Linked DNA regions of Canis lupus familiaris. Each later gene encodes a partner of the first gene's protein in a complex. Links are inferred from orthologs where the notes say so. Each region holds a gene or a part of one and is shown in the gene's direction. Other genes may lie near its edges. The genes, in order: ACTR2, ARPC5L and ARPC5.

Evidence for each region.
Region 2: the proteins of ACTR2 (region 1) and ARPC5L are in contact, whole or in part, in a cryo-EM structure (PDB 6YW6), measured with the Homo sapiens proteins. The link is inferred for Canis lupus familiaris from reciprocal best matches to the Homo sapiens genes ACTR2 and ARPC5L. Residues at the interface, in NP_005713.1 of Homo sapiens: Tyr225, Glu263, Phe266, Gln267, Arg319, Lys322, Gln323, Ser338; in NP_112240.1 of Homo sapiens: Arg11, Arg12, Val13, Asp14, Ile15, Asp16, Glu20.
Region 3: ACTR2 (region 1) and ARPC5 share a complex: the UniProt entries of both Homo sapiens proteins name them as parts of the arp2/3 complex. The link is inferred for Canis lupus familiaris from reciprocal best matches to the Homo sapiens genes ACTR2 and ARPC5.

What each region holds. Positions count from the first base shown.
Region 1 is NC_049231.1:66,017,749-66,021,149, forward strand, and holds part of ACTR2 (actin-related protein 2), read left to right. Parts: intron 1-300; coding exon 301-433; intron 434-3,375; coding exon 3,376-3,401. UniProt on the Homo sapiens protein: ATP-binding component of the Arp2/3 complex, a multiprotein complex that mediates actin polymerization upon stimulation by nucleation-promoting factor (NPF).
Region 2 is NC_049230.1:58,232,433-58,236,876, reverse strand, and holds the start of ARPC5L (actin-related protein 2/3 complex subunit 5-like protein), read left to right. Parts: upstream 1-1,598; 5' UTR 1,599-1,761; coding exon 1,762-1,910; intron 1,911-4,444. UniProt on the Homo sapiens protein: May function as component of the Arp2/3 complex which is involved in regulation of actin polymerization and together with an activating nucleation-promoting factor (NPF) mediates the formation of branched actin networks.
Region 3 is NC_049228.1:16,860,088-16,863,736, reverse strand, and holds part of ARPC5 (actin-related protein 2/3 complex subunit 5), read left to right. Parts: intron 1-2,102; coding exon 2,103-2,279; intron 2,280-3,649. UniProt on the Homo sapiens protein: Component of the Arp2/3 complex, a multiprotein complex that mediates actin polymerization upon stimulation by nucleation-promoting factor (NPF).

The sequences.
Region 1 (3,401 bases):
CCCGGCGCTCGCTCACTCTCTTAAGAAATAAAATCTTTTTAAATAAAGGCTCAGTTATATTTGCAAGAAAGCATGTCATATGCTTTAGAAGTCATTTCATTAAAATTACAGTATTTCACATGTACAGAGGGTTGGTTATCTACTGGCAGTGTGAATAGCAAACATTCAGCCCTGCAACTTCCATGTTGAGTTTTATTTAATTCTCCCAGCAATCCCCCTGAGGCCAACGGATATAAAAGAAACTGAAAGACTGTTTTCCTCATCTGAAACCCCAAACGAGTACCTTTTATATCCTTCCAGATCTGAATTCTATAAGCACATCGTGCTCTCTGGAGGATCTACTATGTACCCTGGGCTGCCATCACGGTTGGAACGAGAACTTAAACAGCTTTACCTAGAACGAGTTTTAAAGGGAGATGTGGAAAAACTTTCCGTAAGTACAGATCAATAATGCAACTGTTAACATACTTTTAAAACCCTGTAAAGTAGCTTGTGAATCTTGACAGCCACCAGAGGGAGCAAGAAGTCTTCCTAAACAAATTATTAATGCAGTCCCATGCAGCCTTGAAGAGCTAGGGAGAAGTCAATGACTGGAGGTAAGCTCTGTTTGAGAACGGTGGTACGGCCTGGTCAGCTCTGTATTCAGTGGCCCGAGGCAGTGAGGTCCAGGGCCAAATGTTCCGGTTCATCTGTAATAGCCTGGAGTCAGCTGCCGCTAAGTGCAGGAAGAACCTGCCGAGAGAAGTCCCTCCCCCAGACCCTTTGCTGTGGGGGACAGGTTTGAAGGCCTCCAGTGGATGCCTGAAACCACAGATAATACTGAATCCCACGTTGCTATGTTTTTTCCTATACAAGAACACCTATGATAAGTAATATATAAATTAGACCCAGTAAGAGATTAACAATAACAATAAAACAGGACAGTTATAACAATATAGTAGAATAAAAGTTATACGAACGTCTCTCTCTCAAAATATCTTACTGTACTGTACTCTTGTGATGATGTGAGAGGATAAAATGCCTACATGATGAGGTGACGTGCGTTATGCAGGCCTTTTGATGTAGTGATATGTCAGAAAGAGATCATCTGCTTCCAGACCATGAGTAACTGAAACCACAGAAAGCAAAGCCACAGATAAGTGGGGACTGCTGTACTATGGAGAGAGAAACACTTCTTTGATGTTTTGGGGTGATTTTTAACTTACTTTTAGGATATGTAATCAGCCTTCGTTGTTACTCTTGGACTGTCTCATTTTTCTGATTTTAGGTTATTTTTTCTGACTGTTTCTTGCATATGTCTTATTTCCCTAATCAGATTGTAAAACATCATATGTCAAATATTTTGAATCCCCATCAGCTATCTTAGCTCCTGAAACAGGCGTTAATTGGTACTTGTGAATGTATAGAATAAAAAATAATGTATGAACTAGTATATAATAGTTGATGGTTATTTGGGATTGATTTTTTTTTTTTTCCTACAAACGCTGAAGTGTGTGAAGTATAGTGTATATACTATGCACTCAGCTGGGAGTCATTGAATTCTGAGTTAATCGCTGAGCTTTGTCCTAGCAACTTTGATCTGCTGTTGTAGATAATGAGATTACATATTACAGGGGACCGTATATATCAGAGATACTAATGTCATATCTTTCGACTGTGACTCAGATTGTGAAAATTGAATTGAATGTGGATTCACATGCATTGGACAAACTAAAAGACTCAAAAGGAGCCTTGTTTAAGTATTTTGCTTATTTGTCTATTTTTGAGTTACACATAGAGTTTAAAATTCGTCTCAGGTGATTATTTCTTGAACTGCTTCTGGGTGCCAAACACTTGTCAGGTGCCCAAACAAGCAAAACAGTAGTAAATAGAAACCAGATCCCCACTCGGATTCTGCGAATGTGTCCGTAGTAAAAGGCACGGTGAAGAAAAGTGAAGTAAGGTCAGGGGCTAGAAAGCTGTAGTGAGTGGTGGTACACATCTTTCTATAGTGTGGTCAGGGCCGGGCTCTGAGGGATTGGTTCTGAGCAGAGACCTGAATAGAGTGAGCAGTGAGCCTCGTAACCCTCAGTGCAAAGACTCTTCCAGGCAGGAACGGCAAGGGCTGTTGGGAATGTGCAGGCATGGCCAGAAGGGAAGGAGTGAGCCCAAGGAGGCTTGGGAGTGAGCTCAGAAAGGTGGTTGGAGGCAAGGCTTGTTCAGCCACAGTGAAGGCTTTAGCTTCACTCCTAATGAGATAGAAAGCCTGGGAAGGATTTTGAGCAGGAAAGTGATAGGGTCTGACTTGTTTTAAAAAGGATCATTGCTGAGTCTGGTGTGGTTAGTAGATTGTTGCTGGAGGGAGGAAGAAAGATTGTAGAAGGCTGAGTTAGGCTCGGAGGGACGGGGGAGATGGTGGAAGTTTATGAAGTGGAGGAGGTATGGAATGGTTGTCTTGACGAGTAGAAGAGAGAAGACCTGTGTCATGGAGTTGCCGAGCTGCACTGAGGGGTTCAAGTGACAGAAGTGATGCAGTTAAACCAAGACGTTGAGTTTCTCACCTGTCGTATACAGTTGCTGGGGGCAGCTGTGAAGTGTAGTCGGTAGTTGGTGTTGGGCCACTTGAGTTTAAGAGGGAGAGAAGGACCAAGTCACTAAGGATAACACCAGGAAGTGGTGGAGAGAGCACACACGCATGCAAGGTTGAGGTATGTCTTTATGTGGTTACATAATCAAGAGTGACTACAGAGTGTAAAACTTGTCCCACTTGTCTTTAATTTTGGTTGCTGTGTTCAATTCTTCCAGCATCCCCGTGGTTTACTTGACCATATTTGGTTGTTTATTTTGAGAACATTTCATTTGAATTTGAGACAATATAAAGTGAGCTTTGCTTATAAGAAAAGAATTTCAATCTTACAGTTACATGGGACCCCTTCCTCTATGATTTAGAGGCATTAGACCTTGAAGAAACCGTAGAAGTCCTCTTACCCAAACTCTTGACATCTGGCTAAGTGATTTGCTCTGGTCGTCACCAGGAGATGGGAAAACCTGCCACAATCAGGACTCTGGTACTTGGGCTCTCAGTAGGCTGATTGTAGAAATCTCTTGGTCAAATCAAGACACTTTTGAGAGTGACGGGGGTGTTGTTAATAGTGTTGGGGCAACGGGTATAAATGAGGGCTGTTCTGAGCGCACTGGGATGGATGTGTGTGATCTCTTAGCTGTGAGCCTTGGGCAATATACAAAAAATGTCACTGTCTCAGATACCGAATCGTGCCGTCCTACTTATGTCACAGGACTTGTGAGAATTCAGCAGGAGAATATATGAAAAAATCATTTTCATAAAGCAGAAAGCTTTATGCACTTGTGACATATGATCTTGTTTTTCCCCTTTAGAAATTTAAGATCCGCATCGAAGACCC
Region 2 (4,444 bases), on another chromosome or scaffold:
GAAGTTCTGATATCTCTGCTGTCTTGTGGCCTGCCTGGGTCACAAAAATTTCCATTTCTTTCAAGGAATGGAGCTGAAGGGCAAGTGGGCTTTGCCTGTTTCCAGGACCCTGAGACTTTTATTCAGCACCTACTTCCCAGCATGAGTATCTTTAAATTTTTAAAAAATGATTTTATTTATTTATTCATGAGAGGCACAGAGGGAGAGAGAGAGGCAGAGACATAGGCAGAGGGAGAAGCAGGCTCCATGAAGAGAGCCCAACGTGGGACTGGATCCCGGGACTCCAGGATCACGCCCTGGGCTGAAGGCGGCGCTAAACCGCTGGACCACCAGGGCTGCCTAAGTCTGTATCTTTAGCACCCAAAATTAGGTAGCATCATAATCTGGCAATAATTTTTTGATCTGTAGACACAATTCAATGAGAAGTATTTGAAACAATAAAAACGAGTCATACTTCATTAAGCCTTGGCCTTTATTAAAAAGAGTACAATTCGGGATCCCTGGGTGGCGCAGCGGTTTGGCGCCTGCCTTCAGCCCAGGGTGTGATCCTGGAGACCCGGGATTGAGTCCCACGTCGGGCTCCCTGCATGGAGCCTGCTTCTCCCTCTGCCTGTGTCTCTGCCTCTTTCTCTCTCTCTGTGTGACTATCATTAAAAAAAAAAAAAAAAAAAAAGTACAATTCAGGGGACCTGGCTGTTTGTACATCATGTGACTTTTGATCTCAGGGTTGTAAATTCCAGCCCCATGATGGGGGTAGAGATTACTTAAAATCTTTTAAAAGGAAAATTATATGAAAACAAAGATCCAATTTAATCTAAGGTTAAGGCCGATTTTTTAATAAAGATTTTAATTTATTTATTCATGAGAGACACACAGAGAGTGGCAGAGACATAGGCAGAGGGAGAAGCAGGCTCCACGCAGGGGCCGATGTGGTGTGGGGCTGGTTCCTGGTACTCCGGGATCAGGCCTTGGGCGGAAGGCAGACGCTCGACCGCTGAGCCACCCAAGCATCCCACGGTTAAGGCCTATTAACAGAATCCCGCAGGCCACTGCCCAGGCACCCAATCCTGGAACCACAGAGTCGTTCTTGCCCCTACCCTTCGGCACCCGGTCCCGTCTCTTCCCATCTCACACTTAGGTGACTCAGCTTCCCACCAGGATATGCCTCTCCAGCCGGAAATGACTTCTTAGCCTCCAGGACCTCGCCCTTTAAGTCAGGATGGTGACCTCAGGGTCCTCTTTCTCTCCTCGCCCCCACCTGCCAGGTCAGGTGACCATTACACTTGCGGGGGTGCCCGAGCCGCCTCAGTCTGGGCAGTGATGGCTCCACCCCGCTTCTGCGGCCGAGTCCGCGCAGGCCCCTTGCAGGGCCAGGGTCTCCTCGGGTTCGGAAAGGAAGCCGAGCACAGTTATGGCGTCCACGACGCTAGGCCCGAGTGGGGACGTAGTGCCCGCTGCTCGGATGGCAAGAATGAGGTTCCCGAAGCTGAGAGCCGGACGCGGCGCTACCGGTAGTAACTAACCGGGGGACTCTCCCGCGCTTCCGGCCCCGCCGCCGGCAGGCTCCGCCCCTCCTGCCCGCCGGCACTTCCGGTTCCGGCCTAGCGCGGAAGTGGGCGGGCGGCGGCGTCTGCGCGCGGAGGAGCTGGAGGAGGCGCCGGGCGGCCGCTTCCCGCCCCCGATCCTGAGCCGGTTCCGAGCGGAGTAGATCGGAGGTCGGACCCGGAGCGGAGCCGGCTGAGCGGGCGCCGAGTCCCCGCCATGGCCCGGAACACGCTGTCCTCGCGCTTCCGTCGGGTGGACATCGACGAGTTTGACGAGAACAAATTCGTGGACGAACAGGAGGAGGCGGCGGCGGCGGCGGCCGAGCCAGGCCCGGACCCTGGCGAGGTGGATGGCCTTCTGCGGCAATATCCTTACCCAGCGCAGCGGCCCGGGTGTCCCTCAGGCCGGCCTCCTACCCCGCTACTTCCCGGCCCCTGAGGTCCGTTTCCCAAGTGCCTCCCGACCCGGCTCCTCTCAGGTTCCCTCAGTGCATGTGTCCTCCCTTCCCTCTGACGCGGCCGCTCCAGTCCCCTCGTCCGGGCTCGGCCTTCGGAGCCTCCTTCAGGAGCGCGGCCCCTGGACCCGGCTGGACCCGCCGGCTACTCCCGACGCACCTGCAGCCCCGCAGGCCCCTCCCTCCTCCGCGAGGCCTGGCCTCTTTACTCCCCTTCTGCCCCTCGTCCCCTCAGACTGACCGTTCCGCGGGCTCCCCCTCCCTCCATCCCTCCCTTGCAGGAAATGGGGCCGTTCTCGCGCCAGATGGGCGGGAGGGGCCGAGGGGAGCCCCGCTGAGTAATTGAGCTGCCTTAGACGGCTCCCGGGCACAGTCACCCCACGAAGTTAGGTGGGGGGTGGCCGAGGGGTAGGAAGGACCCAAGGGAGAACGAGGGCTGCAGCCTTAGGGAGACTGTGCGTCTCCCACCCCAGAATCAGCCTGACCCTCCAACTTCATGCCACTCTTTTTCACCTGTTTTGTTTCCTGTGAACACCTTGGGCTGTGGACCCTGATGTCTTAGCCACGTTCAACAAGTGACTTTTGGCTCCTTCCCCGAAATAGCCTTCTTGTGCAGGAAGCAGTGGGGAAAAGCTAGTAGTTTAGAGCTAAGAAAAACCGGACAGCATCAAGTGAAATGTAAAAGTAGAGCCTCATGACTGGAAGTGACTATTCTTGTGGCCGCAGAAAGCAAGCATTTAGAAAACAAGATTAAAAATAGAGGTGGTTGTCACAGCCTGCTTAGTCCCTTAGCCGTTTGAGCACAGGAAACTGACTTACTCTCACAGGAAGGATTTTTCTTTATTCAAATGGTGTTACGGGAAGTGCCTACCCCTCCCCCACACTTGCCAGGGCAGGGTTGGAGGCTCCTGTGTGTATAAATCAGGTTCTGGGTGTTTAATCAGTTGACTCAGCTTGGGAAGTCAGGCCCATGGACTACCTTAGGGAGGAGTCCTGCAGTGTTCCGCCAATGTGCCTTTGAAACAAAAACCTTCAGACTTTCTTTGTTTGAACAGGAATGTATTTTCGAAGGTGAGGATTCAAACTCGTATTTTCTGTGCTATCAGGATCATCTTATTTACCCCATTGGTGAAATGGGGTCATGAGGATGACCCTCATGAGGGAAGATTGATTCCGCATTCTGGTGCAGGACCTGGCTCATGGGCAGGCAGTACCAAAAAGGCTCCAACGTCAGGCTTCTGGCCCAGTACCATCCACAGATGGGGAGAACAAGGTCTGGTTATCTGCTGTCTTGGTCCTGGTGCTGCAGGGACTTGTTGAAGGTCATCTCTTGGTACGCCCTCGGACTAGTGATTGGTTCCTTGAGGCTGCTTGGAGGCCTAGGTTTAGCACATCCAGTTGGTGGCAGTTTCTCCACTAGTGACAGTGTCAGAAACCTTGTTACCATGGACAGTATATCTCTTGGGATTGGGGAAAAGGAGGTTAGCAGGTGAGAACTGAGATCCTGGCAATTGTGGAGCCCAGGGAGGGAGGAAGAAGGAACTGGTATTTACTGAGTCCCTACCATGTACCAGTTATTGGACTTAATATTAGATCACTGACTTAAACTGTAGAACAGGCTTTTAGGAATCTTAGAATAGAGACCAGAGGAGTGAAGATAGAGATTGATTGGTTGGAGTGGGGGAAGGTAGGGAGGAGAAGGCCTTTCTTACTGCCGTATAGGGAATCGAGTCATGCTAGGAATTCAGACAGATGAACTAGAACATGGGCCGTGTATCCACGCAGACTTCACTCTATCGTGCTATGACCTCATACCCTAACTGAACCTCAGCATCCTTTTCTGTGAAAAGGAGGGGAACCATGGCCTTACAGCTTCCATGGGAGCATCACAACAACATTGCAGAAGCTTCACAGTGCTGGGCACACAGCAACTGTCCTAGACATGCAGCTGAGGTATGTGGGTAGAGGGACAGCAGGGGATTGTATGTAGAAAAAGCTTGGCTCTGGAGTTGGGTATACCTGGGTTTGAAGGCCAGCTAGACAGCTTAGCTTTGTGACTTTGTCAGGTCGTTTCCTTTCTCTGAGTCTCTAATGCATCGCCTTTCAAATGAGAGTTGTTTGAAGTATTGAGATGACATGTGAAAGCACCTGGCACAGGAGCTGAAACCTTGTAGGGATTTTTAAAATATTCATTCCTTTTTTTCCTCACTGAAGAACCTTCTGGTCCTCAGGACTAGGGATCTGTCCAAAGCAGTGGTTTTGAACATTTTTGCACTTTTTCCTCCCCCTGAAGAAATTTGGCATTGTTTGGAGATATTTTGATTATCACAATGCTGCTAAACACCATGTCATGCAGACCTCACATCAGTTGTGTGGTCTAAAATGTCAGTGCTGTGGTTGAGAAATTCTGATCTAGAGGAGACGAGGGGCAGTGGTCTGTAGCCT
Region 3 (3,649 bases), on another chromosome or scaffold:
TAATCTCACTCTAATACTGAGTTATGAGAGACCATTTCAGTGTGTTTAATGGAGGCACTCGAGGAATTGGAGCATAGGCCTGAAGAATAAACAATACTTTTACAAAATAAATAGATTCTATTTGGTTGCTTTTTAAAAATTTTTCTAAATTATCCAAGTATTAAATGTTTATAGAAAACTCAGAGAGAGGCAAAAAGGGGTAATCGTCATCATCCCACTGCCCAGAGATCATCGGTCTTTACTTTCTGGTGTTATATGCTTACAGAGCTTGTCTCTTAGTAGTTGTTTTTTAAATAAAAAGGGAGTTTTGTAATTGGCTTTTTTAATGATATACATGGACATCTTTCCTTGGCAGTAAGTTTATTTCTATAAGCACCTTTTTTAATGGCTGCATATAGATATGCTGCAGTTTACATATAACTAATCTTTTGTCATGTATTTAGATTATTGACCTTTTGTTGTTGTAAACAGTACGGAAATGAACAATTTTGAGTAAACTGTTAATTATTTCCTTTGAATAAATTCCTAGAAGCGAATTGCCGGGTTTTAGAATGCCATTTTTTAAGGCTTTTGTTACAAGTGGCATTGCCAAATTGCCCTTCAGAAAAACATGACTTAACGTTCCCTGCAACAGTCTTTCCGGAAATACTTGAGAACTTACTTACTAATTGTATAAAATGAAGCCCAGAGCTCTGACCCCATTGTCTGTAGGAGCCCTAAGGATCTCTTTAATTTGAGTACTAGTAATAACTTAGGTAAATGCATAATAATTATCTAGGCAACAATGAGAGGAAACATTTCTTTGGTTTTTGAAAGTGGTGAGGGACGTCATTGAGATTTCAATTTTACCACCTTCTGCTTTTATATGGGTGAGTTTTTATCACAGTTTGTGGGTGGGAAGTTATAGCTGTGGTTGTAAGAATATTTTTCTAAATTGGGTAATTGCTTAGTCTTTAAACTGAAGACAGCAATAGGTGGTAGAAACATTCTGTAAACTCCTGATCAGTAGGAATGCCAAAGATAATCACTCTTTCTTGAATAGGAGAAGTGAAATTGTTGAAAGGGTAAATTAAGTGTTCTTAATTAAGTGCTTGGCTTCTTGAGTGGAAAAATAACTTTGCTCTTGGAGCAGCCTTTTATCAGAAAAAAAAATTATAAATGAATATCACTATATCTACCTACTGTAGACAGGAAACTTAAATTTTCTTAAAAAGTTATTTTTATTAACTATTATTGAAGGATGGTTCAAGGTAGAACTGCAATTCATTGTCTTTGTCTTTGGGGTTTTCTCTGAGGTCAAGAAGTAAAATTTAAATGCCGACTTAATAAAGTTGGAAAATTACCATATCTCTTTGTAAGCAGATGCTTTCAGCTCTCCTTCAAACATGTCAAGAATCTGTCGTTCTCCTGAGCTACCATGCTAGCCCAAACCAGCCTATGTTATTGCAGTAACTTCCAGACTGGTCTCCCAGCCTTGTCCCCTGCCCCTCACCAACTTCCCATCAGCTCATCCTCAACATGGCAGCCAGAGTCAGATTATATCACTGTTATCTCATACACAGGTCAGATTCTATCACTGTTCTCAATATCTTCCAACATCTTCTCCTTTCTCTTAATGAAAGCCACAGTCTTCACAGCGGCCTGCGAGGGCTTACGTGGTCTGTCTTCGGCTACCTCCTGACCTGTCCTACTCCTCCACCATGTCGCTGGCTACCAGGGATCTTTCTGCTTTCCTTGAACACCCTGAACATACAGTGACAGCACATGTTCTTTCCTTCTTTCCTCTGAATACTTTTCTCAAATACCCCTAAGGATTCTTCTTTCATGTCCATCAGGTCTTTTTTTTTTTTTTTTTAAGGATTTTATTTATTGATTCATGAGAGACACAGAGAAAGGGAGAGGCAGATACACAGGCAGAGGGAGAAGCAGGCTCCACACAGGAGCCTGATGTGGGACTCGAACCCGGATCCCCAGGATCACACCCTGGGCTGATGGCTGAGCCACCTGGGCTGCACCATGTCCATCAGGTCTTAAGTGTCACCTTTTCCAGAACAACCACTCTACGTGCTTACGTGTGAATGCTCTGTTCTCTGTGTCCCCAGGATCGAGCGGGCAGTATTGTCTTGAAGGTGCTCATCTCTTTTAAAGCTAATGATATCGAGAAGGCAGTTCAGTCCCTGGACAAAAATGGTGTGGATCTCCTCATGAAATATATTTATAAAGGCTTCGAGAGCCCCTCTGACAACAGCAGTGCTGTGTTACTGCAATGGCATGAAAAGGTAAGTTACGACCTAGAGTCCCTCCAACTGGCCACTTATTGATAGAAAGTAACCATGACTGCTCTTCTCACCTAAATCATTATTTTGACTACATCATTTTCTTTACAAATAAATGCATGAAAACGAAAGCTTAGATTTATGTTTCCTAACCCTAGTCTTAAGAGATTTTGGTTTGCAACACATATTTATTCAGTAACGATTACTGTTCATTCAACATGATCTTGAACTTGGAACTAAATCCGAACTTTGAAAATAAGATAAACAATAAAAGTAAAAAATTCGTTGACCATGGCCAGAAGGTTAGAAACACACATGTGCCCAAGGACGGATGAATAGATAATCCTTTTTTTTTTTAAGATTTATTTATTTATTCGTGAGAGACACAGAGAGACACAGGCAGAGGGAGAAGCAGGCTCCATGCAGGGAGCCGGACATGGGACTCGATCCCAGGACTCCGGGATCACGCCCTGGGCAGAAGGCAGGCACTTAACTGCTGAGCCACCCAGGGATCCCCCAGATACTCCATTTTATGCATACACTACATTTTGTTTTTTTGAACAACAGAAAGAAGGAAATTACATACATGGCACAGCACGAATGAACCTTGAAAACGTTGTGCAAGGTGAAGTAAGCCTGTTGCAGAAAGACAAATTACGGTGTGATTCCACTTACAGGAAATACCTCGAAGAGGCAAATTCAGAGAGAGAGAGAGAGAAGATGAGAGGTTATCAGGGACTGGGGGAAGGGAGGATAGAGAGTTCTTACTTAATGGGGACAGTGTTTCTTTTTAGGGTGATGAAAATTATTGGAAACAGTGGTGACTATAATCCTGAGAATATAATGAGTGCCACTGAATTTTACCCTGAAAGATGGTTAAAGGAGCAAATTTCATGCTCTGTATGTTACAGGATTTAAAGAAAAGAAATCAGAGGTGGGGTAAGATCAAGAGTTCTTCAATGTTTTTCTGTTTTCATGCATTTGATTCTGCAGTGTGAGCAGATGGTGGTACACTGTCCCTCAAAAAATAGCTAAGGGAAATTTTTAGCGTTAGGTAAAAAGTTGGTAAGGTCATTTTTAATACCCAACTCTTGGGTAATATGGGTACAGATGTGAACAGTGTAACATTTAAATAGAACCAACCACAGGGAAGGGGTATATTCTAATATCTCTCAGTTCCCAACTCTCAGTCTTTAGAAGCTGTTGTCCGTGTATCTGAGTGAAAACACAAATGGAAGATGAGAATAGGCTGTAGAACTTGTCTTAATCAAGTCACTTGATCACTCATGCACTGTCAAAGAGAGCCTAACTTTTAGGGACAGGGTAACCAGACCTCCCTATTTTCCCAAGATGGCTCCAGTTTATGCCTGTTG